4 linked regions of the Oreochromis niloticus genome follow. The protein of the gene in region 3 binds, or shares a complex with, the protein of the main gene of each other region. Links are inferred from orthologs where the notes say so. Each region holds a gene or a part of one and is shown on either strand. Other genes may lie near its edges. The genes, in order: srrm1, snrpd1, cwc27 and armc7.

Region 1 (7,433 bases), on a different chromosome or scaffold from region 3:
CAAACAGTTAGGGAAGAGAAGCAGCACCATTTGCAGTGTACAGTAAGTTTCAGTTTATAAGCACCTGAACAGATACAGGATCTCTTTCATACCATTTGTTTTCTTCTCTCATCTTAACAGTTTATTTCAACCCTGCGCTGCCCGATCACACTGTTTTATACACAGCTGCTTTAATTCCATCTGATATTTGCGATTCTGTTTTGTCGCCACATTTAGTAAGTCGTTTTTAACCATTTTATTTTGCTTTGCTATAAATATATTATTATGCAACATGGCTTTTCCTGGCTCAGAATGGGCACAAAATGCAATCAGAGCACAAAGCGACTGTGTTATTTGACAAAAACCTGTCCATTTCACTCTGATGTCTGACGACTAAATAGATTACACACAAATCCCACAATACAAAACACAGTGATTCATCTATGGCAAGGATTTAAATACATTTAAAAAAAAGCTTTACCATCCTTATAAGATCTGACTTACATGGTAAAAATAAACAGCTGAGTAATTGTATTTAAAAATGACAAAAGGTCAATTTTAAAACCTTCTTTGTCAAATAAAAGATCTAAAATTCTCTCACCAGGGATGGCTTTGGGGTGAAAAATGTAGTAAAAAGCTCTGCTTTATATTTCTGTATAAATTTATATTTTACTGTATTTATTTTAATTTAACATAAGATATTAGTTTTGCAATATTACATTTACTTTATGAGATGTCTCATTCTACTCTATAAAGCTGTCCCGTTTTATGTTTGTTGTATTTGACTTAACTTTTAGCTGCTGTATCAAAGAAGTTTCCCTTTTGGGATCCAGTTTAATTTTTATCTCGTTGCACCTTAAAATTGTTTTTATCTGACTGTGACGCTGTATGTTAAGGGACGTCAATCTAAGCTACACAAGGGTCGCCACAACAGGTAGCTCTTCATGTCTGATTTGGCATGATGCAACCCCAGAGGGATTTGTATTTCCTCCGGAGAACAAACCCGGGATCTTTTGCTTGTTAAGACAAATGTGTAAACCAGTGCACCATAGGAACACTTAGTGGTCATCGATTCAAAAAAATACAAAACTTATACATGCCAGAATTTATCAAAAAAGCTCATTTTCATTTCAAGCCCCTGGGCAGGTCACATGAACCTGACGTGATATACAAATAAAAATAGACAGAAGACAAATACAAACAACGCTTAACATTAATTTATCAACTGATAACACATTTGGCTGTTTTAAGATCTGCTTTGAAAACATCATGTGTCAAGTTTTCATTATAAGTGATAACCTGTTCCAATAATCACTTCTATTCAACTATGGTGCGCTCTAGATGGCGTCCTACCCTCAACCCCACTGTCACTTCTTTGTGTCCTTTTAAGACGTTACAGTGACAAAAAAGAAGGACTTTTTAAATCAAAAACTTTTGTGGCTTTCCTTAAATGTTACTCAACTATAATAATTGTTGTCCCACCTGTTAATGACCAGGCAGTCCCCTGCAAAGGTTCAAAAATGACATTTGGGTGGAGACTAAAAATATAAACAGGTTATATATAATTAAACCAAAGTTATAGTAATGCCTAATTAACAGAAAAATGAACATTTACCTTTAATTTTTGGCTACTGGATAAAAACAAAAAACAAAACCTGACTTAAGCTCATTAATCACAGGCCTGGTGAGGTGGTGACCACTAAAATGTCTCTCACAGACACCCTCATACCTGTGGTGTATGAATGTCCAGGCTCATGTTGATACAAGTTTGTAGATAACTATTTAACATGATTTTTGAAGATTAAAATATTCTGATTTTACTAATCACTAACAGTTATTTGGAAAAAAAATGTCAAAACAAATGTCACTGCGGGTAATCATTTACCTTTTTGTCCAAACATTCTGCAAATTTCAGCTGCTTCAGCAGTTTCTTCTGCTTGTTGCTGAAGCGGTTGTCCTGCTCCGCACTCGTACCCTGCAGAAATAACAGCCAACATCAGCGGACTCGTGATGATCAGCTTTCACTGGACATGTAAAATCAGAGGAGGACAGAAACCCGTCTCGAACAGTGTTTATAGTCTCAGGCTGCACAGCCTCCTCACTATTGGGCCCATGTTAGTTACAGCAGTTTTACTTACCGATAACATTATTAACGACAGTCAAAGTTTAGGATGGAAAAACATTACGTTGCTTACGCTAACGCGTCTTAAAATAAAGACTTAAGACACGTGTGTTCCCTAGAGCGCCGCTTCATGTTCTTTTTAGCTCCTCGACCTGAGCCGCAAACGACACTGACACCAGTCGGCTAGCATTAGCCATGCTAACCACTTGCTTAATCCTCGAAAGCGAACGCACAGGCTAATAATAGGCACAGCCCGAAGGCTACTTTGACTGACAGCGGAGCTGACATTGACAGAATATTAAAAGACACATTAATGTCATTATTCAGCAAACACGGAGGACTTGCTAAGGCCAGCACAGCAGCAGTCGTGACTAGCTCATGGAGACAGGAGCGATGCACCGCCCGGGCGCCATCTTTAGTTAGCTAGCTAACTTGACTCGTCTATTTCCTGTAAATGTGTCTGTAAAATAACACGTACGGGGTTTTAACTTAGGAAGCTACACATTTTCATAAACTATAGGACAGAAAACATCAATGTAGGGAACACGCAATAACTCCCAGAATACACTAGGCGAAGCAGACTGATTGCAAATCTTGAGACTGTTGGCTCCCAGTTGATAGACGAAGCCCTGACCGCTGTTTAGCTAGCTGCATGGCTCTTCACTAAAGACACATAGGAAACATCCATCCCATAAAACGTATATAGATCTACATAAAGCTAAATAATAATATACCAAATACAAAGATAAAAGTTTGAAGAACTTACGCGGAAGAATCCCGCGTCCATTTTAGGTGAAATGGTTCGTAACTGCTGCTGTGGAGAAAGCCGTGTGCTGCTCCGCCGGTGAAATTCAGGGTGACGAGCCGGATAAATGGAGTGCCCCCACAGGAAGCAACGGGTACTGCAGCTACAGTGAGGAGGAAGAAGATTCCGCTCATCACCTGATGCACGAAATATGGCAGTCGCTAGCTTAGCTTTTGTTATTCTTGAGATTCTGCTGCTGGCTTTAAATGTGCTTCAGGCCTTCAGTGCGCCACACGAACTTCCATTATTTAGCTCATTGCTCTGCTTTGACCACATAACTGCAGCTCCAACAAACGCTGGTAAAGGTAAACATGGGGAGATATTCATCTTCATGGAATTATTTATTTCAATGTACACTGAAATAAAAGATTTTGAGGTCACTTAGGAATGTCTCTGTTTAAATTAAAAAACAAACAAACAAACCCATCTATGTACTTTCTTCTTGCCGCTCCTAGGGGTCACCCCAGCCTCCGTTTGCCCTCACCTCACCCTATCCCAAGCATCCTCCTCTGTTGCAACATCCTTCTTCTCTGTGGTCTTCATCTTCTCCTCCTGCCTGACAGTTCCATCTTCAACATCCTTTGTCCAATATAGCTTCTATCCCTCCTCTGCACATGTCCAAACCATTCATTCATTCATTTTCATTCATTTATTTCATCTCACCTTCCTTGCTAACCTGTGTTGTTCCTCTCGTGTACTCAGTTTTACTCATACCTCTTCTCTGTTCTCACCACAGATCACAATGTCATCTGCAAAAATCACAGTCCATTTTGCATTAAGTGATTTTGGCAAAGCAGTCAGTGACTGGAATGTGCCTCAATATGCAGAGACAGCTTGCACAGATATGAATAAGACCCAAACCTTGGTTTAAACTGGTTTGCTCAAATGTTGTTGATTTTAAAAAGTATTTTGTTTTTATCCATTGTCCAGTTAGGAGCTTGTTGAACCTGAACCTCACCAACCGCCATTCACCAGTAAGAATAAATGCTCAGATAAACAAATGAGAAAAACAAAAAAAAAATTGTGATGTATAATAATGATGCAAAATTTTGCTTCTGAAGAGATTTCTTTGGGAAACCTTAATAATAAAATTAAAGAGCTTCCCATGAAGCTCCGGGGGGAGGGAGCCCCCGTCCCAATTCCAGCCAGAAAACAAATTCCACATTCATAACAAGAGATGGGGGCACTGAAAATCAAATTTGGACCATATTTGTCAAGAAATGAATCAGTTGGACGGAAGTCCAGACGCTTTTCTTTGCAAACTCCTTTGACTACGATGACCTGGATGACTGAGAATCTTCACAGACAAATCAGTTGGACATTATATTTGGAGCCCTGTTCTATAACCATTTCCTTTAGTTCTTTACAGAATAAATTCAACAGATTGCTGGAAACATTCTGCAGAAATTTTGGTAAATCCCCCCGACACCATTATACCTCCACCAGAAGCTGGAATTGTTAACAAATTCCCCACGTGTGGGACTAATAAAGGTTATCTTATCTTATCTTATCTTATTCCAGACAGGATGGATCCATGCTTACGTGTTGTTACTACAGTTCTGACTCTATCATCCAGATGCTGCTGCAGAAACAGAGCCTTATCAACCATGCAATGTTTTTCCGGTCTTATTTTGTCCAAATTTGCTGAGCTTGTGTGACTTGTAGCCTCAGTTTCCTGTTTTTAGCTCACCCAGTAGGACTCAGTGTCGTCTTCTGCTGTTATAGCCCATCTGCTACAAGCGTTGATGTGTTGTGTAGTCAGAGATGCTTGTCTGCAGACCTTGGTTATAACATGTTTTTTTTTATTTTGCCTTCCTGTTCGCTAGATTTTCACCAGAGCGGCCACTCACTTGGTATTTTCTCTTTTTTAAACCTCTGCAAATCTTACAAATGGCTGTGTTGGAAAATCTCAAAAGATCAGGAACTTAAATACTCAGACTAGCCAGTCTGAAAATAATAATTTAAGGTGTCTTAAATCATGTTTCTTCCCCAGTCAGATGCTTGGTTTGAACTTCAGCAGGTTATCTGGACTCTTTCTACATGCCTTAATTGGTGTGATTGGCTAGTTAGATATTTTGAACAGGTGTACCTAACAAAGTGGCTGGTGAATACCTTAATTTTGTATATGTTACTCGAATAAATTAGAGAATGAAAGCATAGATGAGAAAACTTTAACTATTTCTTAAATAAAAGTTAAATTTTTCATTTTATAGTGTTCTTGTTTTGATGCTGATCGGGTGTTTCGGATGTAAAAACGACACAGAAAAAAAGAAACTTTGGCAGCATACGATATTCAGTGCTCTTTGGGTAAATAATATTTTTATTGTTAAAGGTCTGATTCAAAGTACACAGCATTTTTTAATATATTGTTTTCCTAAGTAAATACGGCCTCATTTGATACTGTTACTCATTCATATTTGTAATCACACCGCTGGCAAAAAAGTAAAGGCTTCCTGTTCTGTGCCACGGCAAGGGTAGTGCGGTTGTATATACTGTGAGTTTCACTTGATAGTCTATATTATAAAAGAGTGCTTTACAAAACAGCCAGGATACATGATTTTTCATTACAGTCCAAAGTCAACTGAGCCAGTCATTCCAGATGATCCTGGATTCAAAATGTCCAACAGATTTGTTGTTCTACACGTGGAACTTGTCCATATTGTATTAGATATTGTAACAGACGCTGAAACACGCTGGTGTGCCCATGCATGTGATCAACATCTGAAACTCTTTAAAGCTTAAGAAATATTTCTGTTCCACCTGAGGCAACATGCCCATGTGTAAAGTGATGCTTATACCATGAGAACAATAAAAACCACAAAGATGAAGAGAAGGTTTGACAGTATCTGATTCCCTGAAAAGACTGAAGTGTGTGTGTCTGTGTGTGTGTGTGTGTGGGTGCACATGTGTTTGACATCTCACTTTCCACTGAATATAAAGAGGTTATGACTGAGAATTTCCATTTTACAATCAGTCCCTGGCACGGTGCAGCGATGCTCCAGACAAACAGATGATACTGGTTGACAATTTGTAAAAGTGAAGTAAAACAAAGTGTGCTGTTGGTAAATGTAGACTGAGGAAAAGTTAGTGGTAGGTAGGGCATTGGTTAGTCTTGATGCAGCAGGTTTTGCTAGCTGACTGGCAAACCCTCGTTGGTCCTCTTGTCTCGGATGGAGCGGAGCATGTCCGACACCAGCTCCTCAAGCCCGAAGGCTGGCGCCCAGCCCCAGTCTCTCCTGGCATTGGTGTCATCAAATCTCACAGGCCAGCTGTCTGCTGCAAAAAACAAACAAGGACAATTTAGTTTTATATTGGTTTATTATCAGTCAAACCAGTGATTTAAAAACAAAAAGATACCATACCAATGGTCTGGCGGACAGTGTCGGGATTGTAGGTGACCTTGAGGTGAGGGAGATGCTTGCGGATTTCTTGGGCCACCTCTTCAGGGGTGAAGCTCATGGCAGCTATGTTGTAGGTGCGCAGTGACAGCTGGCACTCTGGAGCCTGCATGAACTCTACCGTGGCACGGTGGCAGTCAGAGATATGCATCATGGGAAGACGGGTGTCGGGTCGCAGGTAGCACTCATGGTGACCCGTGCTGAGAGCATCATGGAAGATCTGAACTGCGTAGTCTGTGAAGACAGAAGTCCGGAGCACTTAGTCCATGACATCCAACGGATTGGAGTACATTTGCACAACACACACAGGTAATACCTGTAGTTCCACCACCAGGAGGCGTGTTAACTGATATCACTCCAGGGTAACGCAGGCAGCGGAAGTCCAAGCCATATTTATGATGGAGATACTAAAGAAAGAGAAGCTGATTGAAAATGAAATGGAGTCACAAGCGTCTCTGTAAGCACGCGTGCAAAAAACATTTTACCTCCCCCATCAGTTCACCATGCACTTTAGACACGCCGTAGATGGTTCGAGGTCTTTGAACACAGAGGTCAGGGGCCGGGTCACGTGGAGAAGAGGGACCAAATGCCCCAATAGTGCTGGGGACAAAGAGGCGCAAACAGTTCTCTAAGGCCAAGTCCAGCACATTATGTAGGCCTGGATGGGCAGAAAAGAAGAGAGCACGAGTTCAACCCTGATTGTTCCTTAAAACCTGGTTACGTGTAAAGCATGTGCATATTCAAGCAGACCTGTGATGTTGATCTTTCGTGCCAAAGCCACATTAGCCTCACCCACAGCACTAAGCAGAGCGCTGTAGTGGACCAGCCAAGTGATGCGGTTATTTACAATAAGTTCTCGGAGGTGTTTGTAGTCCAAAACATCAGCGTATACAAACGGGCCTATAAAACAACAGTGATGCCAGAAAAAAAATAAAGTAATTAACTTTTAAAGTAATACGCATACTTGAATGAGATTTTACATACCACTGGCGTAAACATGAGGTGGAGGCTTCTTGATGTCTGACAGGATTACATTGTCCCTTCCATACTGTTTTCTAGACATTAACAAAAATATGACGACATTTAAACTTCAAACCTTTTAGCAAGTTTCAAAATCTCAGGAATTTCT
Region 2 (7,597 bases), on a different chromosome or scaffold from region 3:
AGCAGATAAAGAAAATGCAGTTTTAAATCTTTCAGCTATTCCCAGCTCCTTTAATATTTTACATAGCAACCTAAAATGTCAGCACTGAATGCAAACATATTTGCCAACAGTCCAGTAACTGTAAGGCATCAATCTGTTAGTGTTTTACTGCGGACGACTTGAATCACAATGGAAGAAGGGTGACCAGATGCCCACTTTCTGTGGGTCTGCACTGCATTTTGTGTCAGTCGTTCTCACGTCCCTCATCACTGTACATCATACAAGCACTTGTCTAAAGTCTGTCTTTTATCCAATGGCTGTGAAGGAAGAAGGGAAGACTGTCATCACTGACACGGTTTAGACAAATGCTGAAATTAAGGTTTATAGGTGGTGTGTTGTTATTACGTGGATAGCTCATCTACCTACAAGCAAGCGTCTCTTGTCAGATGGCGCACGTGTCAAAGGAGGTTGTCTGTGGGCCACATGTGCTGTTGATCAACCAGCCAACCGTGGAGAAGGGCGAAGTTATGACATAAACAGCTGAAGTGTTTAAAAACTAGGGAAAGTATAATCTGCGGCCACAGTCTGTACTTTGTGCTTTTTTCTGTATTGTAGTGGATGACTGTATGACACTAATGCTCCAATACAAGCCGCTTTAAAGCTCGCATCGGTGCGAGGAAAAACAACAACACCAAACACTTGATCAGTGACATCTGCTTCGGTGTGGACCTGACTGAAATCACATGACTGGTCCAAACAAGTTTATACTGCTATGCAACGAGAGATGCTTCGTAACCCCTCATCAGAACCATGTGAATGTGTTTTCGAAAGCTGTAAAGTTGTCAATAGCAAAAGAAGCCAGGTCAGTCTAACAATGGTGGAAAAAAATATCGTTTCTCAATAAAAATCTTCAAATCCCCTGTACATAAGCACACCTTACCATCCCAGCACATCCTGGGCTTCCCAAAGCACGCCTCCTTCCAACTATTACATAAGTTTACAGAATCAACTGACCGCCTTTGCAAAATTGTATTTATATCATTCAAACAAACCCTTGTTACAATCAGCACATGATTATCGACACATTGTTTTGCTGACTCCTACTCCACCACTAGATGTCACTGAAACAAAGCTGTGAATGAATGAACCCATTTTCAATGCAACTGATGAATTGGCTCAGTACTGGTTCTATGCTTCATTTGCACATCATTTCTTTGTTGTGTTTCTAACATTCCTGGTGAACACCGCTGTTACTTCCTTCCCACAAACACAGCATCATCTATGTTGACTACTGTGCAGTTTGGATTATGGAGGGCTGCACTGGAGCACATTTAACAGTGGAGAGTAATGACATGAAGTCACGCAGTACACAGAATTAGCAAAGCTAACAGTTTTATCTGATTTAGAGTTCTGTGGGAAATCTTTCTAGGTCCTATAACATTTATGCTGTGTGTGGTGCAGTATGTGCTAATTACAGTGCGGTCATATCCCAGCATTTCATAAGCAGTGCCAGCTGATAGAAACAAATAAAATATCTTAGGTTACAACTCTTTGTTGAGGTTAGATCTGTTTTCCCCCCCCACTTCCTCCTTTGTATATCCCCCGTCTTCCATTTCGATAATTTCTGCAAACTCCTTCCAGGAATTCAGTGACATCTATAAATCCTTATACTGATGCTATGATTGCTATTCTTTTATTAAGAAATTGAAAACAGCAGCGAAGAAGTACAATGCACAGGAGGACTTAATAGTGCTTTCCCACTGAAGTATTATTGGGACATGTAAGGGAATACACAAGCATAAGAAGACTATGGAACAAACCTCACTTTTTGTGATGCTCACTGTATTTACCAAAAGAGGGAGCTGGGAAAGTTACATTCAGCTAAAACCAGTTTATTGATCTTTAAAATGATTAATCGCAAACCTGGGACCTGCATACTTTGCTTATATTTAAGTGAGACACATGTATGTATGTATATATATATATATATATATATATATATATATATATATATATATATATATATATAAAAACATTTCCCAGTATTTCCACAGGACTCTAGCTTTAGGTAGAATTGGGTGTTGGCTTGAAAATGAGCCCTACAGGCCACCGTTACATTAAAATTACTTTGAAACAACTGAACTACAGCAGTGTTAGTGGACTGAATTAGCTTAGTGTAGCTAATAAACTGCAGCACAACTAATAAAAGCGTTAAGGCACCTCCAGCTGAGTCCTACCTGTGATGGTGCCGTGGACCTGGGTGCCGTTCTTCAGCTCGATGGTAACCGTCTCATGGCTGAGCTTCATCAAAAACCTGTGGGCATCGTGGAAGAAGACGAACATCTATGTTTGAGTTCAGCCTGGAAATGAACCACAAACTAGCCTCAAGCTAGCTACTAGCTGCATAGCTTTCAGCTGCAAAACAAAACCACCCCAGGAGTGAGATGACCTTATGAAAACCCGCTGAAACCCTCCAGATTTAACCGCCATAACTAAAACAAATACTGAACTAGCTTTGTGCTCCTGCTACTAAACATTTAGGTTACGTTCATTTCGTTCGCTGAGTAGCAGGTTAACCAAGGCCGGGCCTGCGAGTCTGCTAACGTCCACGAACCAAAGTATGTTTAAAAATCGTCGATGCATAGAGCTAATTTCAACTACCGAGCGTCAGGGTTAATACTGCAGGTGTATTTTAACTACGAGTGTGAGCATTGTAACTCCGGACAGCCTCCATTCATTCGGCCCGATGCTTCCCGCTCATATCTTATCCTCCTCTTCTCCGCTTTCCATCTAAACCCATCCAGCCGCAGCACCCTCACTCCATCATCCCACGTTCACCTGTTCGTTAAATGGCGCATTCCAGACTCTGCTTACCTGACTAGTTTCATGATGGTGATGGACTGTAGAGACAAATCCTCCACCAAAGAGAAAAATTACAGCGAGCGGGTGAAAACACACACAGGCCGCTGTGGTAACAATTACGTTTGACTCGCGCACTTACGACGTCATTAAAGGAGCGACGGCGACGAAGAAGAAGACACGCTGCACGACAACACTGCCGCCTACCGATGGAAGAATAAACAGCGTTTTGAACATATGCCCCGAATCTAACAAATCTTTGGATTTATTGAACTTTACAGAAGCAAATATTTAATAGAAGAAATGCGTATATATATATTTTTTATTATAATATATGTTGTCAAAGTGTCAACATAAATGTAGTAAACTGTAACAACAGTAAAAACTTACTGTGTGTAAACTAAATAACAAATAATCCAAAAACGCTACAATACAGTGCAAACGTCTTGAGATACCCTTATTTCTTTCTACTTTGCTAGGAAAATAGATCTTCTTCACAGACATCCTTCCAGTGAAAAAGATTTCTGATGAGACTGACAAGTAGGTGTATGAACTGAAGAGCCAGATGCATCCCTGAGGTGTAAATAAAAACTGAAAGACCTTCAGAAAGCCTCAAGAACAGAGATCGAGAAGTTTGGCTGCTTAAAAGCAAAATATAAAGAAAGCAAAGGGCGACTCAAGTCTTTTGCACAGTGCTGTGTCTTGTTTAAGTCTTTGGCAGTTTGGTCGTACTTAGTGAGGCTGAGATGCCGCATTGGATTTGTGCTGTAATAGCTGAATATCTAAAAATTTTCCTCCTGACAGATTACAGAAATAAATCGTGAAACTAATCAAACTAAGCATTTTACACAATGAAAACAAATTAAAATAAGGAAAGCCTTCCCGAACCCAAAATCAATTAAAAAAAAGTAATAAAAACAAATGAAAAATCTAACACTTCTGCTCTCCTGAGGTGCAGCTGTGTTAGTTTTTCAAATAAATGCAGTCTAAACCTAAAGATAATGGGTTTACTTATCATTTCCATGTACATGCTAAGAGCTGTTGCGGATTTGACAGCAACATGAAGTGAAATAATGTCAGTCTACCTTGTACATTATGATAAATAGGAGACTAATCAGGGAACATGTTCCCTTTTCTTGCTGATGGAAGTTCAGAAATCAAAGCACTAAAACAAAAAAATAAAAATGTCACTGCAGTGCACTTTCAGTTCTTTTTATTGAGAGTAAACTTTGCACTGACACTTTCATTTTTAGTTTTGGCCACACATCAAACCCTTTCTTTTGACCAGCTGGGAATGTATCAAGTATAATCTGTGAGAGTGCAATTTCAATCTCTTAAACTCTGAAGATGTCAGATGAGGGAGCACTAAATCATAAACACTAATGCAACTGCTTGTGTGACGCCATCGACGGCACACATACAAAAAAGGGAATATTTAACCGCTGTCCCTCTGCAGCCCGACCACACATCCGACACTCGCCAGCATGTTTCTGCGAAACAAAGACGCAGTGCGTGCCCAAACACTGACGTGAATCCCTCTTTCCTCAGGGAGTGGAGCCTGAAATGTCACAGCTGCCCTCACATCTCAGCGGGCTTCGTGCAATGCTATGAGCCAGCCACCTTCACAGTTCTCACTTTATCACTTCAGGTTTCAGAAAATGCTTAAAAATCAGTTTTAAGTGAGTCAGTTTGAGTTTTACAAAGGGTGTCTTTGTATTTGTCTGGCATACCATCAAAGGACATTTAAAATCCTCACATTTATTCTCATTTCACTCCCCAGAGCACCAAATCAGTCCTCATCACAGCAGGCAGTGTTTAGTTCCCTTGTAAACATTGTATTTGGGCAATAAAGTTTAAAGATTTGAGGCTTGATGACATCCCGGCAGTTACATCTCAGAGGCGGTGTCAAATCAAAGGTCAACATTCACATAAAGTGTTTTTTAATCATCGTGGAAAAGCAGCGGATTCCTTCAGAGAGGCTCAAAGAGGTTTTTCATTCAGGGCTGAAAATGTGGGCGCTGCGACTCACCCGGGGGGGGGGGATAAAACAAAATCAGTGTATTAAAGTGTTTTCATCATCATCTTTCATTATGAAGCATGTTTAAAAAGCAATGACACTAATAAATAGCAACAGATAAATACAATCAGAACAAAACAAAACAAAGAAAAAGGCACACAGATCCAACAACTCTGGTCTCAACAGGAAGAAACATCTTGTCTATAATTAAAGGAATAAAAAGAATCAAATACAGTAGAAACCCAAACCCACGTCCCGTCAATTAGAGCACACTGCAGGGCGCTATAGGTAGTGGAAAAGATATGATAAAAAGTTACATAAAACCATAAAATGTGCTCACATTTACAGTATTTGTTATGCCTGCTTTGGCTCAGAAACCGCACGACTCAAAGAACCGACTCACACGAGCACCAAACAATAAACAGATTCATGAATCAGTGCAGCAGCGTTTTAACAATATATTCTCATTTATTTATTTTACAGTCGTATAAAAACTGTTTACAGCAGCTTCTGTGAAGACAAAACTTGTGAAAGTGGCTGAAATCTCACTTTTTATGAAAAATCAGCTTTTTTAAATGTGCTGCAGTGTAAAGTCAAACTTTAAAACACATTGTGCATAATCCAAAGTGATAAAGCATATTTTAGTTTACCGTCTGCTAACTGTTTACTCTTTTAATTGGTTAAACATTTAATAATTTTAATTGGACGACTTGTGTGAAGCACTTTAAACCTGTTGACTGTATTTTATTTATCAGGTTTAATAAAGTAAAGGATCATTCTGAAGTCAGTCTTCAGCTTAAAATGCCAAATTATTTCCTCCGTGATATTTGTAGTTTTTTAAAATCAAAGCAACTATGAATGATCTGAGGAGGTTAAATACTGGATATCATTATTCTCAGATTAATTTGATTGGTTGATGCATTACCTCATTTAATACCCACTGTATTTTGTCTGCTACGTGAGATCTGGTGCACAAGTACTGAGCCAAAGTGGCAGAAAAACACTGTAAATCTCTGCAGATTAAACATGAAGATGCATCTTTGATACAAAACATTTGAAATGTGCAGCGAGTGGCAAAAAAACAAAACAAGACAACCCCCCCCCCCCCCAAAAAAAGCCCAAACAGAACAAAAAACAGAGAACTCAATCCACTCTGCAAACAAGCACCCACTGAACTTCCAGCTTTATGGGCGCTGCTCTGCAGCTGGGACTGACCTCTGACCTTCACGTGCAGAGAGGTGCTGTAATAGTGTGACGTTTACGCAGCAGACTGTGCCAGCCTGCTGAAAAGTAAGATCAGGACTGTATTGGCACTAACACAAACAGGCACAGTGTGCATGAAGGTCCAGAAATCAGAATTAGGCCCTCTGATTGTACAGCACGCTATAAACAGGCTCCAAAGTTACAGTTATCTTCATATATTTGGCTCTTGGAGCTCTGAACTGGCTTGTGGTTGGGTTAGTGTGAGAATCAAGTGTAGTTAAATGAGGCAAGTTTGGATTTCAGCATGAACAGCACCAAAACTTCACCCTGAACAAACTTAGGAGACAAACAGAAGAGGTGGGGAATTAAATTAAAATAAGAAAAAAACTAAACTAAACTAAAACATGGAGCATTTTGTTGTGTTATGATATCAGTAGCTCTCCGTTCATGGTTTAAACACTTCAAAGAATAATTTGTCTGTTTTTAGAGCAGACAAAAAGCACTTAAAAATAATCAAAACGTGTATGACATCATCTTTACTGGACAGAGTCCACAGGTCTTTAAGTCCTCTCTAAATACAGTATAATACATACAGTAAACACTCCACCCCCCAAACACAGGCACCACCATCACACATCTTCCATCATCCATCAGTGCTTCTCTCTGATTGGTTTTCTTTCTCTTTATCTCGGCTCTACCTTCTCTTTCTCTCTATATCTGTCACTTTCACACTAGGTGTTCCTGCTCCGTCCACTCTTCAGGTGACCGGTCCTCCTCTAACTGAAGGACGAGGTCTGAGTCTCTCTCCATTGCCGGGGCAGTGTGTGCGGGACTGTTTCCATGTTGGGAGTGTGAGTGCGGGTGTGTGTGCGCTTCGTCCAGCGACAGGTCAGCCACACACCCTGCGTCCACACCCTCTTCTCCAGCGTCTCTTTTTTCCAGCTCCAGAGTGCTCGGCCTCGACGTCTTCACGCCCTCGGCTCCCGGTGGGCCGGTCGCCAACCCTCTGCCTACTTCCGACTCGCCCTCCAGGGGCTGCCGGATGGGGGCGGAGGTCTGGCTCTCAGTCTCGGTGTGTGTGTCAGGAGAGGAGTCCGTCTCTGTGGTGGGCGGGGAGGGGATGAGAGCCAGGCTCTGCGGGTTATTCTGGGGGTTTATGTTGTTGTTAAACCAGGCCATGATGTTATCCAGCAGCTGAGCGCTGGCTGTGGGGTCCAAGGGCTCCAGGCTCTGAGGGTCACTGGGGGTGAAAGGGCCCCCTTGGGGAATCACTGGTGAGAGCAGCAGCTCTGGCTCAAGCTCTGGAGATGGGAGGCACAACTGGGTAGGGGCTGGGGCTCTGATTTAGGGGGCGTTCGAGGGCGTAGGCAGCAGGGCGCTCTGCGGTGTAAGAGCTGCTGTGTTCAGGGCAGGGGTTGTAGGAGCTGTCTGGTTTAGGGTTGCTGTTGTACGTGGCTGCATGTTCCCGGTTATAGGAACTAGGATGTGCGGGGTTTGGAGTGGAGAGGCAGGAGGCGGCGTGCTCAGCCTTGGCTAAAT
Region 3 (6,912 bases):
TAACAGCACATACACCAATCAGGCATTATAGCCAACTGCCTAATATTTTGTTGGTCCCTCTGTGTTGGCCCCTGACTTCACAAGACTCCTGAAGGTGTGCTATGGTATCTGGCACAAAGATGCAAGCAACAGATCCTTTAAGTAGAATTTGGATGCCAAGTCAACACTTAAAAAATCATTGTTGCGCCTGTTGTCCTCAAACCATTGCTGAAAAATGAAAGAGGCCTGATGGTAGGTACAGGTAAATGATGCACATCCACATAATTCATCAGACCAGGCCACCTTCTTCCACTGCTCTGTAGTTCAATACTGATGCTTGGTACTTTCTGTGGTGGACAGGGGTCAGCATGGGCATGCTAACTGGACTGTGCCTATGCATACACAACAATGTAATGTACTGTGTATTCTGATTCTATCAGAAACAGCAATACATTTTTGGCAGTTTGAGCTACAGTATCTAGATTGTTGGATTGAAACACGGGCCAAATGTCCCTCCCCAGGCGCCTCAACGAGCCTTGGCCGCCAATGACACTGACCACTGCATATCTTTCCTGCTTATAACATCAATTGGGGGAAAAAGTTAATTTTCTGTCTAACATATCTCACCTACTAACATGTGCCATGATGAAGAGATAATCAGTGTGACCACCAGTGACCAGTATGAGAAGCATAAACAGCAGCTACAGTGGACACTTTCATTGTTTTTAAACACTCGATTTCACTTCAGAATAACTTTGTGGTCTATGACCTCTGTAGTCTTCTGGTAGGTGCTAAGCTAAAGGAGCAACAACACCGGGGGTAGCTAAAAAAGTTGGCATATAGAATGGGTTGCCTTAAAGGTTTAACCTGTTTTACATAGATGATGAAGTATAGACCAAGGCTCAGTATAAGACTCAGTATAAGACAAATGAGTACTGTGAATCATACAAAGCTACTCTAGTAAAGTACAAGAAAATATCTATATATAGATAAGGAAATGAGCATAATATATTCCCTTATGTACAAAAATGCAGGTGCTCCTGGGTACAGTCTTGATCTTGTTTCAATCAGAAAGACAGATGAAGGCCGAGCACTCACTTTGTGGCTTTTGACTGTGATTTCTTCGTCTCTTCTTTATCCTTTTCCTTTTTGAGTTTCTTTATTTCACGAGGTATGATGTCATCAAACGGAGAATGTAACACCTAGGAGAGACAAAAAGAAAAGCTTAAATTACAGAAGCTAGATACTAAACATATTGCTGAGCAGGTAAAATAGAATGAACTAAAATACCTCAGCAGATTTGATCTTGTGAGGATTCAGAGGTCTTTCCTCACCATCACACTCAACTTCTGCTAATCTGAGCATATTATACACGGTGTCTCCAGTGACCTGGAGTGGGGATTGCAGAAAATAGAAATGGTCAGGCACACTCTTATCACATCCTGCCTGGGGAAAATGGCACTCATCTTGGTATATTCATATATTCATTGAAGACAGCATTCATTCATGAATACAGATAGAAAATAAGTCATCATGTTCTTACAGCTTTACCTTGCCAAATATGGTATGTTTATTGTTGAGTTCATCTGCACGTCCCAAGGTGAGAAAAAACTGACTGCCATTGTCATGTGGCCCTGCATTTGCCATGGCAACCAAACCCCTCCGATTGAAGCGCAACCTAGAGTGAAACTCATCCTGAAAGGCGACAGAAAGTTTAGAAGACATTGTATTTTAGTGTCACCTGCACATAGGAATTAGAAATCCACTTCAGAATTAAAAATAAAATGAGAAGAAAAGCATTCTCACCTTGAACGGTCGGCCATAGATGGACTCTCCACCTGCCCCTGTCCCAGTAGGATCTCCCCCCTGAACGATGAAATCAGGCACCACTCTGTGGAACACTGTACCATCATAATAACCTAGAAGATCAAGACATACTGTATACTAAAAAACAATAAGGCAACAACAGTTCCCTACTAACAATCAAGAAATCTGAGCCAACAAGGACATTTAAATAAAGACAGTGCTCAGCTGAATATAGGTTCTGGGATTTAAAAAAAAGTCTTATGTACACTGACAGCAGCCATTTCTCTGCTTACAAGTGAACAAAAAAAAAAAAAAACGACTGCTAACATTTAAGAAATATATAAGTAACTATGTCTAAGACTCAAAATTTCTTCACATTTTAGTCCATCAATAATCTTCAAAATAAGATAAAAAATATAACACTTACACGCATCATGGCCTAATACTTAAAGAGGCTAGTTTTACCAAACCAATATATTTTAAGGGCACGCCTGGAATAATTCGGCCTAATTTAGCGCAAACTGAATTTGAGGTTATTCTCCAGTGGTTTCTGCACTTCCTTAGTGAATTCTTACCTTCCATGCACAGCTGCACGAAGTTCCTGCATGCTTTAGGAGCCTCCTTGGACCACAACTCAATGTCAATATCACCTGCTGTTGTCTTTAACAGGACCTGCGAAAAGACCACGAAATTATACATTCAGAGCTAAACAGTGTTAGGAGTGGCTAGCTATTGGTACCTACAAATCCGCAATATTATGCACGAAAAACCTAAAGTTCAAATTGTAAACTGGCGCTTACCTTCCCATTTGTTGGTGGCTCTTGAATGTAAATGTTGCTCATCCTGCCGCTACGTTTCTGTGTTTTGTTAGCAGAATAAAAAATATATTCTCACACGATCTGAACTTTAGGTTCCTCGAATATACAGATAGTAAAGTTTGTTACAGTAGGTAACTTTAAATGTGATACATTTCACATTTCACTCTTTACAGCCATATTGGCAATACATGAGTTGATTGTTTACTTCCGAGAACATAGGGGTTTCGGTTTAATTATTGATTTTCTGTTCCGTTTTTTTCAAAGAACATCACTTAATTTGTTTTTTTTTCTGTTTTCATAAAATACATAAAAAACTTTTATTCGCACGTGAATCAAACTCCGAGAGTTTTGATGACAAAACAATCCAAAACAAGCTCGGTACTTCACCCCGAGAAACAGATTTTTGGATCGCTCCTAGTGCGCTATCACAACTGCCCCCTGGAAACAACAAGTTCCGTGTAATTACAGCGTAATCTCATTAATCCTAATAATTATGTGTTCTTGAGAAAAAGTGAGACACATAACATGTTGTTTATAATTAATAATTGTAGAATTTTAGCAACTTGTACTTGAAACAAAAACAACTACACAAAAAATCTGAGATTTAGGCGCTGAACGGAAGTACCGTATTTACGGAAGGACCACACGGGCGATCACGGCAATGGCGGCTACTGAAAAGAATGTGGAACTGAAGCGCAAAGTAGATGATGATCATGATGGGGATGGGGACGAAGAAGATGCCGAGTGGGTTGGACCCATGCCAAGCGAAGCCACAAAGGCAAAGAAAAGAAAAGGTGGGATTCTGGGTGTTCATTCGGCACACTGGCAGCTTTTTGCGACTGCTCTCTAATCACTGCTAATAAAGCGCCAAACGCCGTCCGTTAACTTCTGTGTGTATTTGTTTCTCTCAGTACTCGAGTACGAGCGTGTCTATCTGGACAACCTCCCGTCGGCTGCAATGTATGAACGGAGCTATATGCACAGGGACGTCATCACACACTTAGTTTGTACAAAGTAAGTCAGCAGCTACAAGGAAACTTTCCTTTATATGTGTGAGAAAGCTTTTCCACTTTACAGCACTACTCACTTACATCCAGCTTATTAAACCACCTTAATAAAAGCGATCCAATGTTAAAATGCCTAAACTATCAATTATTAGTATTACCAGTATACCTCATATTCCAGGACTGTCTTTGTGCTGATCCATTGTTAGCATTCATGTTTGTCCCAAAGTAATATGTAAAAAAAAAAGTCAACCTAAAATGGTGACGTTTATGATACCATCACCTGGGAAATCTAAACGAAGCAACAGAATTTAGTAGTTCTTTTATTTAAGAGTGGGCAGCCGTTTTAATAATTATTATTGATGTATTTTCTATCATTCCTGTGACAAGTCATGCCAATTTCCTGCAGCTTACTGTTTATAGAGGAACCTTGCAGGCTGTATTACATGTTATTAGTTGGTTGTGTTTGTTCATTGTTTGTTTGAAAAGCCACTGAGTGCTGTATCTGTAATAACAATGAAGTTCCATCAGCTCATATAAGCTGTGTTGTTTGCTGTTGACCTGTGAGCGTGTAAGAGGACATTTTATCATCAGCAATGGCTAACATTTATCTGTTGGGTCTCATCACTTTTAGCCTGAAAGTGTATTATTGTATTATTATCTGTTTCCCTGGCATAAATTGAATGACAAAACCCCCCAAAACAAAACAGGCAAACAAAGAAAAACTTTGATGCATCCATATTCGCAATCCTGATTTTTAAAATTTTCTCTTTACTTCAAATAAAGATTGTCTAACTCCATCAGTAGATGGGATGTGGATAGGAAAAGTAGGCTGAAGCTGAAATAACGCCATAACATTGTGCTGTTTCAGGACAGACTTCATCATCACTGCCAGCCAGGATGGCCATGTCAAATTTTGGAAGAAGAAGGAGGACGAGGGGATAGAGTTTGTCAAACACTTTCGAAGTCATCTCGGTATGAACTTAATTCGTGATAACTTCTTTTTAACAATCGGAGTGGCACTGGACTGAGAGGGGGTTATGGAGACCCGGTGCATTGTATGTTATAATATAACGTGTCTTTAATGAGTGAAAAGGATGTGTATAAACACTGTTCTTGCTTTTTGCCCAGGTGTAATAGAAAGCATTGCGGTCAGTGCGGAAGGGGCCCTTTTCTGTTCGGTTGGTGATGATCAGGCCATGAAAGTATTTGACGTGGTCAATTTTGACATGATCAATATGCTGAAGTTGGGGTGAGTCTAAATGAAAATTTTCTTGCTAGACACAATAATGTTTTTACTGCTGATAGATTTGGAGTGCAAGTTCTCCTTTAATTTGATTGGTTTCTCTACTGTGATCTGTCTGTATGTAGCTTTCATCCAGGCCAGTCTGAGTGGATCTATAATCCTGGAGATGCCATCTGCACAGTAGCCTGCTCAGAAAAGTCCACAGGGAAGATCTTCATCTATGATGGCAGGGGAGGCAATGACCCCTTCCATGTCTTTGACAAAATGCACTCCGCACCGCTTTCCCAAATCCGCCTGAATCCCAAGTTTCGAGTCATTGTGTCTGCTGACAAAGCGGGAATGCTGGAGTACTGGACGGGCCTTCCAAATGAATTCAAGTTCCCCAAACATGTGGATTGGGAATACAAAACGGACACTGACTTGTATGAATTTGCAAAACACAAAACCTATCCCACCAGCCTTGCCTTTTCCCCCGATGGGAAGAAGATGGCCACCATCGCTTCTGATAGGAAAGTCAGAATCTTCCGATTCCTAACAGGAAAACTAATGCGAGTGTTTGATGAATCATTAACGGTAACCTGCCATTCACCTTTCAGCCTGGATCATTGCTAGCGTTATGAATTTTGCACGCTAATCACAGCTGCTATATGTGTGTTAGATGTTCACAGAGCTGCAGCAGATGAGACAGCAGCTTCCTGACATGGAGTTTGGGAGGCGGATGGCTGTGGAGAGAGAACTGGAGAAGGTGGATGGTATCCGGTTGACAAACATCATCTTTGATGAGACTGGCCACTTTGTTCTGTATGGGACCATGCTGGGCATCAAGGTCATCAATGTGGAAACCAACAGGTATGCTCACAAATGAAGGTGGAGACTAAATCACAGTTGTGTTTCGTAATAAAATAATGTTTAAGAGATGTAAATGAGTATTTTAATTGTAGTATACAAACTGATGAAATCAAAAGTGATAACGTCACCACTTCACATGCAGAGTTATATAGACATATAACTCCCGAGCCCTGTGTTTCTTGTTTTCTAGATGTGTGCGGATCCTTGGGAAGCTAGAGAACATCCGTGTGGTTCAGCTGAGTTTGTTCCAGGGTGTTGCAAAGGCCATGCAAGTGGCACCCACTGTGGAGATGAAAGCTTCTGACAACCCTGCCTTACAGAACGTAGAGCCTGACCCAACCATCTTCTGTAGTGCTTTTAAGAAGAACCGCTTTTACTTGGTGAGACAGAAAGGCATTCATTTCAAAGTGACAGTGCTACATTTTTTTCCCTTCTTACTATAAGTTTTTTGTCGTCTCTTTTTGAAGTTTTCGAAGAGAGAACCAGAGGATACCAAGAGCGCCGATTCGGACAGAGACATCTTTAACGAGAAGCCCTCAAAGGAAGAGGTGATGGCCGCCACGCAGGCCGAGGGCCCCAAGAGAGTGTCTGACAGTGCCATCATCCACACCACTATGGGAGACATCCACATCAAGCTTTTCCCTGTGGAGTAAGTCCTCAGTGTGAATGCTTTTGGCTCCTCCTTTCATTTTAGAAGACAGAAACAGAACTTTTCCTCTCTTTGATTTTAGATGCCCCAAAACTGTGGAGAACTTCTGCGTCCACAGCAGGAATGGATACTACAATGGCCACATATTTCACAGAGTGATCAAGGTACGTTGTCCTTTTTCTTTATGAAGCTTGGCGATCAACTGTGTGATTCCGGCTCTGAGTGTTTGTCTCTTTGTCGTTGACAGGGCTTCATGATTCAGACTGGAGACCCCACAGGAACAGGCATGGGAGGAGAGAGCATCTGGGGAGGGGAGTTTGAAGACGAGTTCCACGCCACGCTGAGACACGACCGCCCATACACACTTAGCATGGCAAACGCAGGCCCCGGCACCAATGGCTCACAGTTTTTTGTCACCGTGGTACCCACTGTAAGTAGCCCAACTAAAACCACTTTCAGACCTGTATTTTATCATTGTGTGAATAAGATTTCAATTTACTTTTCTGAAAAAGTACGACAGCTACATGTAAGATGGTGACATTACCATTTCAAACTTATAAT
Region 4 (6,840 bases), on a different chromosome or scaffold from region 3:
GCAAGAACATGTTAAATGACACGATACCTGTTCAAATAGCATCAATTAACACACAAATTCAGGTTTTTTTTACTTCTATATGATAATTCTTCATAATTAAAGAATAAGAACAAGTAGTCTGATGTTCTGTAATCATTATGAAGCTATAATTTGAAATACAATAACACATTACGTTTTTGTACAAAGTATCGGATCAGTATCGTCGATACCACCCTGAATTTGACTTGGTGTCTGATCAGAAAGGAAATCAGTGGTATGCACATCACCACTATGCAGCCGGCCTCCTTCAGAGGAGATGCCCCCTGCTGGTTAACAGGAAGAAGGCAAGATTAAGGGATTTCTGCACAGGCAGACCCACAAGCTACATCCATGTTTTGTATTTACAGTCTATGGTTATACTGCATCTGTTATTTTCTATTGTTAACTATCATAACTGCTGATGTACACAAGCGAAAGATACCCAGCTGGATCCTGGGAGGAGACAAATCCCTTGGCGGGTTGCGCCTGGCATAAAAAAAGTCTGTCAAATCAAACATGCGGCGCTACCTGCTGTGTTGATCCCTTGTAAATAACAGAAAAACTAAGAGTAGCTTTCTTTATTTTAGAGTGGAGAAAAGCAAACAAGTACATTTTCTCATGTAAGCACAATTTCTAAATCCTTTGAGAATTTAAAATTTTGTACTTCTTTACAGTAGAATGCTGGACTAGCTCCAAATGGCCTTTTCTCTCTATCTACAATGTTTAGTTATAAGTTACAGATCTTATATTTGAGTGAATAATTATTTCATGTCACACTGACAGTGAATTTAAAACCTTTATTTTGACAGTTCAGCGTCAGTTATTACTGAAAATACAAGTATAAGGGATTTTAGTCGTGTTACAGCCATCAGACTGAATACATCCCAACACCAAGGAGTTTGATTTTCCTGCTTCACTGAGCAAAAACTGAAGGCAGAGCTGATGTTTGTTGAACGGGATTAGCGTCTGTGCTTTGACTTTTAATCCTGACTACAATAAAGTCACACCAATGAAATACAAATGAAAACCTCCACAGTGTGCATTTTAAATAAATGATCTTTAATAATGTATAGCACAAATAATTAATAATTGAAGAGAGTTTCATTCATACAGTCCATTAGGTTGCAGTCAACTCTGCCCCCTGCTGGAAAAACAAGTAAGTAAAGGAAGATGCTGGTCAAGCTCCTTTACTGGGCATCTTGGACAGTGTTGTGTCCAGCCCAGATGTCTATACAAATCTGTGAGGGTTACTTCAATAAATCCATTACTGTAAGCAGGCCTCAGTAAAAATATTCAGCAAAGCCATCTTTGCACATGTGGACATGTGCAGCGTCCACCTGTGGAGACCTGCTCTGTATCACAGTCTGCTGCAGAGGCACTGAGGTTCAGGCTGCTGCCGCCTTCAGCCGCTCCCTCCTTGCTGCTTCTTCTCGGTCAGCTCGTCGATCTGCTTCTGCCGCCTCTCCAGGACCTCCAACCTCTTGGTGTCGTTGCGCGCTCGCTCCTGAGCCCTGAGTTCAACGACGTCCTCGAAAAACCTGTGTCTGCGCAACAGAGGAAGTATCGAATGAAAACAAATGAGAATTATGAGAATTCATTAGAGAACCAGAAAAAAATGGTAAGATTACAACCTTTCTTCTAAAGTGACGTGGGTGGTTCAGTGTGAGAAAACAGATTTTGATTTTACTTTCATGGAAAAATATAAAACTATAGCTTTACCAAAAAAAATGTTTTGTATATTCAGTTTCTCTCAGTTTAGTTTCAAGTAGTCTTCAGAGTGTTTTTGGAAACCTACTCTGTTTCCATTTTTCTAACAATAAAAAAAGAAGCTGTTGTCCAGTGTAACTAAATACTCATCTTTTCTTTCTCTTTTGTTGAATTTTGACCAAAGAATCAGCGGAATCATCAGGATTCATCCAGTGATGTGAATAAAAGCACAAAAAGTACTTAAACACATCAGATCACCTTTCCTGGGTTCACCTGATGTGATTCTAAAGACAACAGTGAGGATTAAACACGTTTTCAACCACAAGAAATCTAATCACAGTCATCGCAGAAGTCTGCTTGCTGTCGTTACTGAAGCTCTTTCTCCACTAAGTTTTAATAATGAGGTTATTTCAGGGCTCCTTCAAAGCTTTTAGGGATGTCAATTAAAAAGAAACAACCAGCTGTGTCAAAATGTCCAGTCCATACAACAAAGCACTGAACAGTAAAGATTTCTCTTTGGACTTTTGGTCACACAAAACACAGCTGTTCAATCTGAAGAGCTTCTCCACTGTGCTGTAAAATCGCTTGTGCACTAACGGCATGAACGAGTTAGTGGGACTAAAAGTTAATTGTATTGATAGGGCTTTTCTAGAGGTCTTAAAAACAACATCTGCAAATTCAATACCTTTAACATGATTTAAATATTATTAAAGGCATTTTAGATACAGCCAGGCAGGAGGTTAGAGCCCATCTCAGCTGTTACAGAGCAGGTTATCAGTCTGCTGCAGGGCCAACACAGACAGCTGTTCACAGTTCAGTCATTTTATTGTTCCTGCCGTTAAACCTGGTTTACAGACAGGCTCTCCAGAAATCATGCACAAACAGCAATACAAAAACAACAAACAGCAATACACAACAACCACAAAATAAATCCACATTCAAAATACACCAAATATACAAAATCATAATGAAATGTATCACATAAACTGATTTTATAACGCTCCTGCACAGGGAACAGAGCAGCTCTCTGTCCTCTTACACCTTACTCGTGGCACTGTCGGCATTTCTTAATTGAATGTTACTTAACGAGACCTTGTAATAACCTTGAAGCAAATCTTCATAGCTGGGAACTAGACAGTTTTATGTCAGTCAGGGAGCTCATGGACATCACCACATACTGAGTTTCCTCACTCGCAAATTCTCCGCCAGATTCTCTGAAATTTATTCTTTCTTTTTTTTTTCCTTGGGAATGTGTCTTTTTTTCTTTTTTTTTTGGGTATTTATCGTCTTGGAACTTTGCTCATTTTTTCTTGGGAACTTAATGATTTTTTTCTCATAGGTTTGCATGTTTTTTCTCATAAATTTGTCCTTTGCTAATTTCTTTGAAATGTCCTATATCTTTCAAATAAGCTTGCTTTTTTTTTGATTTTGTAATTTAATGCCTCTGAACTTTGCTCATTGTTTCCTTAGAAATTTGCCACAAGTATGTCTTTTGTATATATACATATATACAGTATATGCAATTTATTTTCTCGGAAATGTGCTCCGTTTTTTTTTAACAAAGTTAGCATATTATTGCCTTATAAATTTGACAATTTTTCTAATAAGTTTGTCCGTTGTTTTTCATTATTGTGCCATTATTTCTCGTAAATTTGCTATTTTTTTTCTGATACGTTTGCCATTTTAAAACAATAAACTAGCTATTTATTTTTTCGTTAATTTGGCATTTTTTCCCTACTAACTTTGAATGCTTTCTCTCTGTAAATTTGCCCATTTCTTTCATCAAAAATTAGATTTATTTTTTTTTTGTAAATTATCAATTTTTCTAGTAAGTCTGCCGAATTTCTAAAATTCTGACCTTTTTCTCTTTAACTCCTAAAGGGCTGCAGAATGCTGGGCCTAATACGCAGTCGTACTACTTCCCCTGTAGCACCTTTTAACAGCAAAGTCGTGCTGCTTTTATAATCTTCACTTCTGATCGGCTCTTTCGGAGCTGCATATTTATTAGGTGTGCAGTAAACACTTGCATGTGCACATGTCACGTACATCATGTCTGTTACGTACAGGTGGCTGAGCTGTAAACACGCTTTAACGTTACCTGTTAATGAAAGCAGCAGCGAGTCCAACGATGATCGTCCCGAACAGGATCGGTTTGGCGAGCCGTTTCCCGGCGGATAATTTGTGCTGCTTCATTTTCGTGGCTTAATTTTGCACTTTAAACACTGACCTTCCCCTACAGTTAGCTGAGGTGCTGTACACGCCCCCTTCGTGTCCCACAGTTTTTAGCAACTTCCGGTACCACGTGACACTAGCTTCCGCTTGACAGTTTTTCTATTTTGTGTCATGTTGTATGAGGGGGTAGTATTGCCACATTAACAAAAAACTATGATAGACGACCTTTAACTGCGTGTGAAAAATGTAAATCAGATTTGATTCTATGTAAGTGCGGCTTGACCGTATGTTAGCAGATCGAAACTGATTTTAAAACAAAAATCGTTTAAACGGAACCTTTGTCTCATCCACGCAGCTACACGGAGCAATTCATGGTCAGACCGAGCCGGGAACGAACTGAGAAGAATAATCTTAAATCATTTCCTCGAAAAAAATCTCGTTTTATTTTATTTATTCATTTTTTAGCTAAAGCGGAGAGCGGAGCTGGTGGTAGATGATGTGGAGGAGCGGCTCGTCCGGAGGCTCTGACCGCTTTGAGTATTTACAAACTCTGGTCACCGAGTTTCAGGACACCGACAGCGACGGTGGGAGCAGCTGTGTTTGGATTCACCTTTAAACTCACTACTCTGCTTTCTTCTGTTATCTTTTTTCCAATCTTGCCTTTTCGTCTTTCTGCTCCAGCATAAGATCCACAAGACAATAATATGAATCATAAAATAAAGTAAATAGAACAAAAACATTAACAAGAGGTACCTACAGAAAGCCTAGGTGCTCCTCTTGGGAGACGTACATCATCAAATAATTATTTAAAATTTGAATTTATTAAATACACATTTATTAAATTGAAATAATTAGTTTTATTTAAAATATATTTCAGTTGTTATTATTTCATAGTTCTGGGCTAAAACACATCATGAATTTATGAATGAATGTCAACCTCACCTATCAAAGTCAGGGGGCGGGGCTAATGCTGATCTGGTCAGTATCTTTACCTTTCCGGAGTCGATTCTTTCAGTGGGTGTTTCTCAGTTGCAAGTACGCTAAGGAGTCCAGCCGTTCAGCTTCAGAAAATGAATTATTAATTCAGCGCGTGTAGCACATTAGCTGTGCGCAGGCAATCCGGGCATGGACTGCAGCATTATCTGGGATCAATCTTCTTAACTTGCTGTGCAGGGTAACCAATCAGATTTTAAGGTCTGTTGACCTGCCACAGATAATTTGAAATGAACTAATATTTTAATGAATTAATTAGACTTTTAATTAAATATTTGTCTATTTAATTTTGGCACTCCATAGTTCTCATTTTATGTGATTAAAAGCTTTGTTTTTCCTCCTCAGAGGCGAAGGAACAAGTTCTGGCTAATTTGGCCAATTTTGCATATGATCCAAAGAACGTGGAGTATCTGAGGGAGCTGCAGGTGACTGACCTCTTCTTGGACATGCTGACTGAGGAGAATGAGAACTTTGTGGAATTTGGGATGGGTGAGTGTCACATTGACATCTCGTTCATTGTCTGCAGCAACTGTCAAGCCTTTATCTCTGATTTTGTCTCTCGTGATCTCAGGGGGGCTCTGTAACCTCAGCATGGACCCTGAGTGCAGAGATGTCATCCTGCAGAGCGACGGCATCCGCTTAGTCACAAACTGCTTGTCGAGCCGGAGGGAAGAGACGGTCCTGTCAGCCATCACCACCCTCATGAACCTCCTGACACCTGTGTCACGCTCTCAGATCACCGATCCCGCCATCCTGCAGTGCATGCTGCGCTTCTCCCTCTCCGAGAGCCCTCGTCTACGCAACCTGGCTACCGTGTTTCTGCAGGACTCCTGCAGCGAGGAGCAGGTGGCGCAGGCGCAGCAGCAGATGGAGGGGCAGCAGATGGCAGTCGGCATCCCGCTGCCCAAAGACTAAAGACAAAGCACAGACCTTTATTTTTTTTATAAGTGTGCTCTCTGTGAGAGCGTCACAGATGATTCACCCAAGGGAGCCAAAATTCGATATGTTGTTCCAAAAAAAATAAAAACATATTGGATGTCCACTCGTAAGAGGTAATGGATTCACTTGACAAAAATGATGCTGATTTTTTGGAATTAATAAAGTTATTATCTCATTAACTGTGAGTAAACCTTTCATTATGAAAAGTGTACTCCCAGTTTATGAGGTATTTAAGGCATCAACAAGATACCTTAAAATACCAAAACAGCAGTGACATGATGGCTGCCCTCTGTGAGCCTGGTTTCTTCAGGTTTCTTTCTCTTAAATGGGAGGTCTTTCTTCTTGCTGTCGCCAAGTGTTTGGTCAGAGGCAGCTGTTTGATTGTTAGGGTTTTCTCTGTATTACTGTAGGGTCTTACAATATTACGTCTTGAGGTGACTATTGTTGTGATTTTGTGCTATTTAAGTAAATTTGGATTAAAATGAAAGCGTGTGGTTAAATTTGACTTCGAGTCTGAAGCCCTCTCAGTGGTCAGTAAGATCAGGAAATTCTTCTTCTTCTCTTCTTCTCCCTCTGGGGGTCATGTGCCTCCATCTAAACCTATCCGAACATCGTCCTTTGTCACACCAATCCTCTGCATCTCATCCTTCACTACATCCACAAATCTTCTCCCAGGTTTTTTTTTCCCTCCTGCCTGGCAGCTCAGGCTTCCTTCGTCCAATATATCCACTCTCCTTCTTCTGCACACGTCCAAACCAACTTTAGCCTCATCTCTCTAACTTTGTATTCTAAACACTCAACCTGAAATGCACGTACATTACATCTTAAGCTTTAAATCAAAAGCCTGACATTACTGCACTCTTCACATATTCTTTCAATCCTTTTGGAGGATACATCCAGAAATCCATAAAACTCAATCTTTGCTACTTGAAATGCTATTGTCCCTCTTAACCATTGTCTTGTATACTAAACCAAGTATAGACTTAACTAATAACATGTTATTTCTTTGCT

The links.
Region 1: cwc27 (region 3) and srrm1 share a complex: the UniProt entries of both Homo sapiens proteins name them as parts of the minor spliceosome. The link is inferred for Oreochromis niloticus from reciprocal best matches to the Homo sapiens genes CWC27 and SRRM1.
Region 2: cwc27 (region 3) and snrpd1 share a complex: the UniProt entries of both Homo sapiens proteins name them as parts of the minor spliceosome. The link is inferred for Oreochromis niloticus from reciprocal best matches to the Homo sapiens genes CWC27 and SNRPD1.
Region 4: cwc27 (region 3) and armc7 share a complex: the UniProt entries of both Homo sapiens proteins name them as parts of the minor spliceosome. The link is inferred for Oreochromis niloticus from reciprocal best matches to the Homo sapiens genes CWC27 and ARMC7.

Annotation. Positions count from the first base shown.
Region 1 is NC_031983.2:27,507,868-27,515,300, forward strand, and holds the start of srrm1 (serine/arginine repetitive matrix protein 1), read right to left. Parts: upstream 3,020-7,433; 5' UTR 2,889-3,019; coding exon 2,868-2,888; intron 1,955-2,867; coding exon 1,865-1,954; intron 1-1,864. Other genes in the region: tdh2 (L-threonine dehydrogenase 2), read right to left, coding at 6,037-6,182, 6,269-6,538, 6,621-6,711, 6,790-6,962, 7,055-7,204, 7,289-7,359. UniProt on the Homo sapiens protein: Part of pre- and post-splicing multiprotein mRNP complexes. As a component of the minor spliceosome, involved in the splicing of U12-type introns in pre-mRNAs. Involved in numerous pre-mRNA processing events.
Region 2 is NC_031985.2:21,347,923-21,355,519, reverse strand, and holds the start of snrpd1 (small nuclear ribonucleoprotein Sm D1), read right to left. Parts: upstream 3,009-7,597; 5' UTR 2,868-3,008; coding exon 2,854-2,867; intron 2,294-2,853; coding exon 2,217-2,293; intron 1-2,216. Other genes in the region: ankyrin repeat and IBR domain-containing protein 1, read right to left, coding at 7,353-7,597. UniProt on the Homo sapiens protein: Plays a role in pre-mRNA splicing as a core component of the spliceosomal U1, U2, U4 and U5 small nuclear ribonucleoproteins (snRNPs), the building blocks of the spliceosome.
Region 3 is NC_031972.2:12,013,609-12,020,520, forward strand, and holds the start of cwc27 (spliceosome-associated protein CWC27 homolog), read right to left. Parts: upstream 3,015-6,912; 5' UTR 2,628-3,014; coding exon 2,586-2,627; intron 2,458-2,585; coding exon 2,361-2,457; intron 1,899-2,360; coding exon 1,786-1,898; intron 1,675-1,785; coding exon 1,531-1,674; intron 1,369-1,530; coding exon 1,270-1,368; intron 1,182-1,269; coding exon 1,078-1,181; intron 1-1,077. Other genes in the region: ppwd1 (peptidylprolyl isomerase domain and WD repeat-containing protein 1), read left to right, coding at 3,265-3,397, 3,515-3,617, 4,479-4,582, 4,739-4,859, 4,979-5,426, 5,512-5,702, 5,893-6,082, 6,170-6,351 and 2 more. UniProt on the Homo sapiens protein: As part of the spliceosome, plays a role in pre-mRNA splicing. Probable inactive PPIase with no peptidyl-prolyl cis-trans isomerase activity. As a component of the minor spliceosome, involved in the splicing of U12-type introns in pre-mRNAs.
Region 4 is NC_031973.2:5,032,010-5,038,849, reverse strand, and holds armc7 (armadillo repeat-containing protein 7), read left to right. Parts: upstream 1-4,170; 5' UTR 4,171-4,390; coding exon 4,391-4,481; intron 4,482-5,235; coding exon 5,236-5,379; intron 5,380-5,461; coding exon 5,462-5,805; 3' UTR 5,806-6,329; downstream 6,330-6,840. UniProt on the Homo sapiens protein: As a component of the minor spliceosome, involved in the splicing of U12-type introns in pre-mRNAs.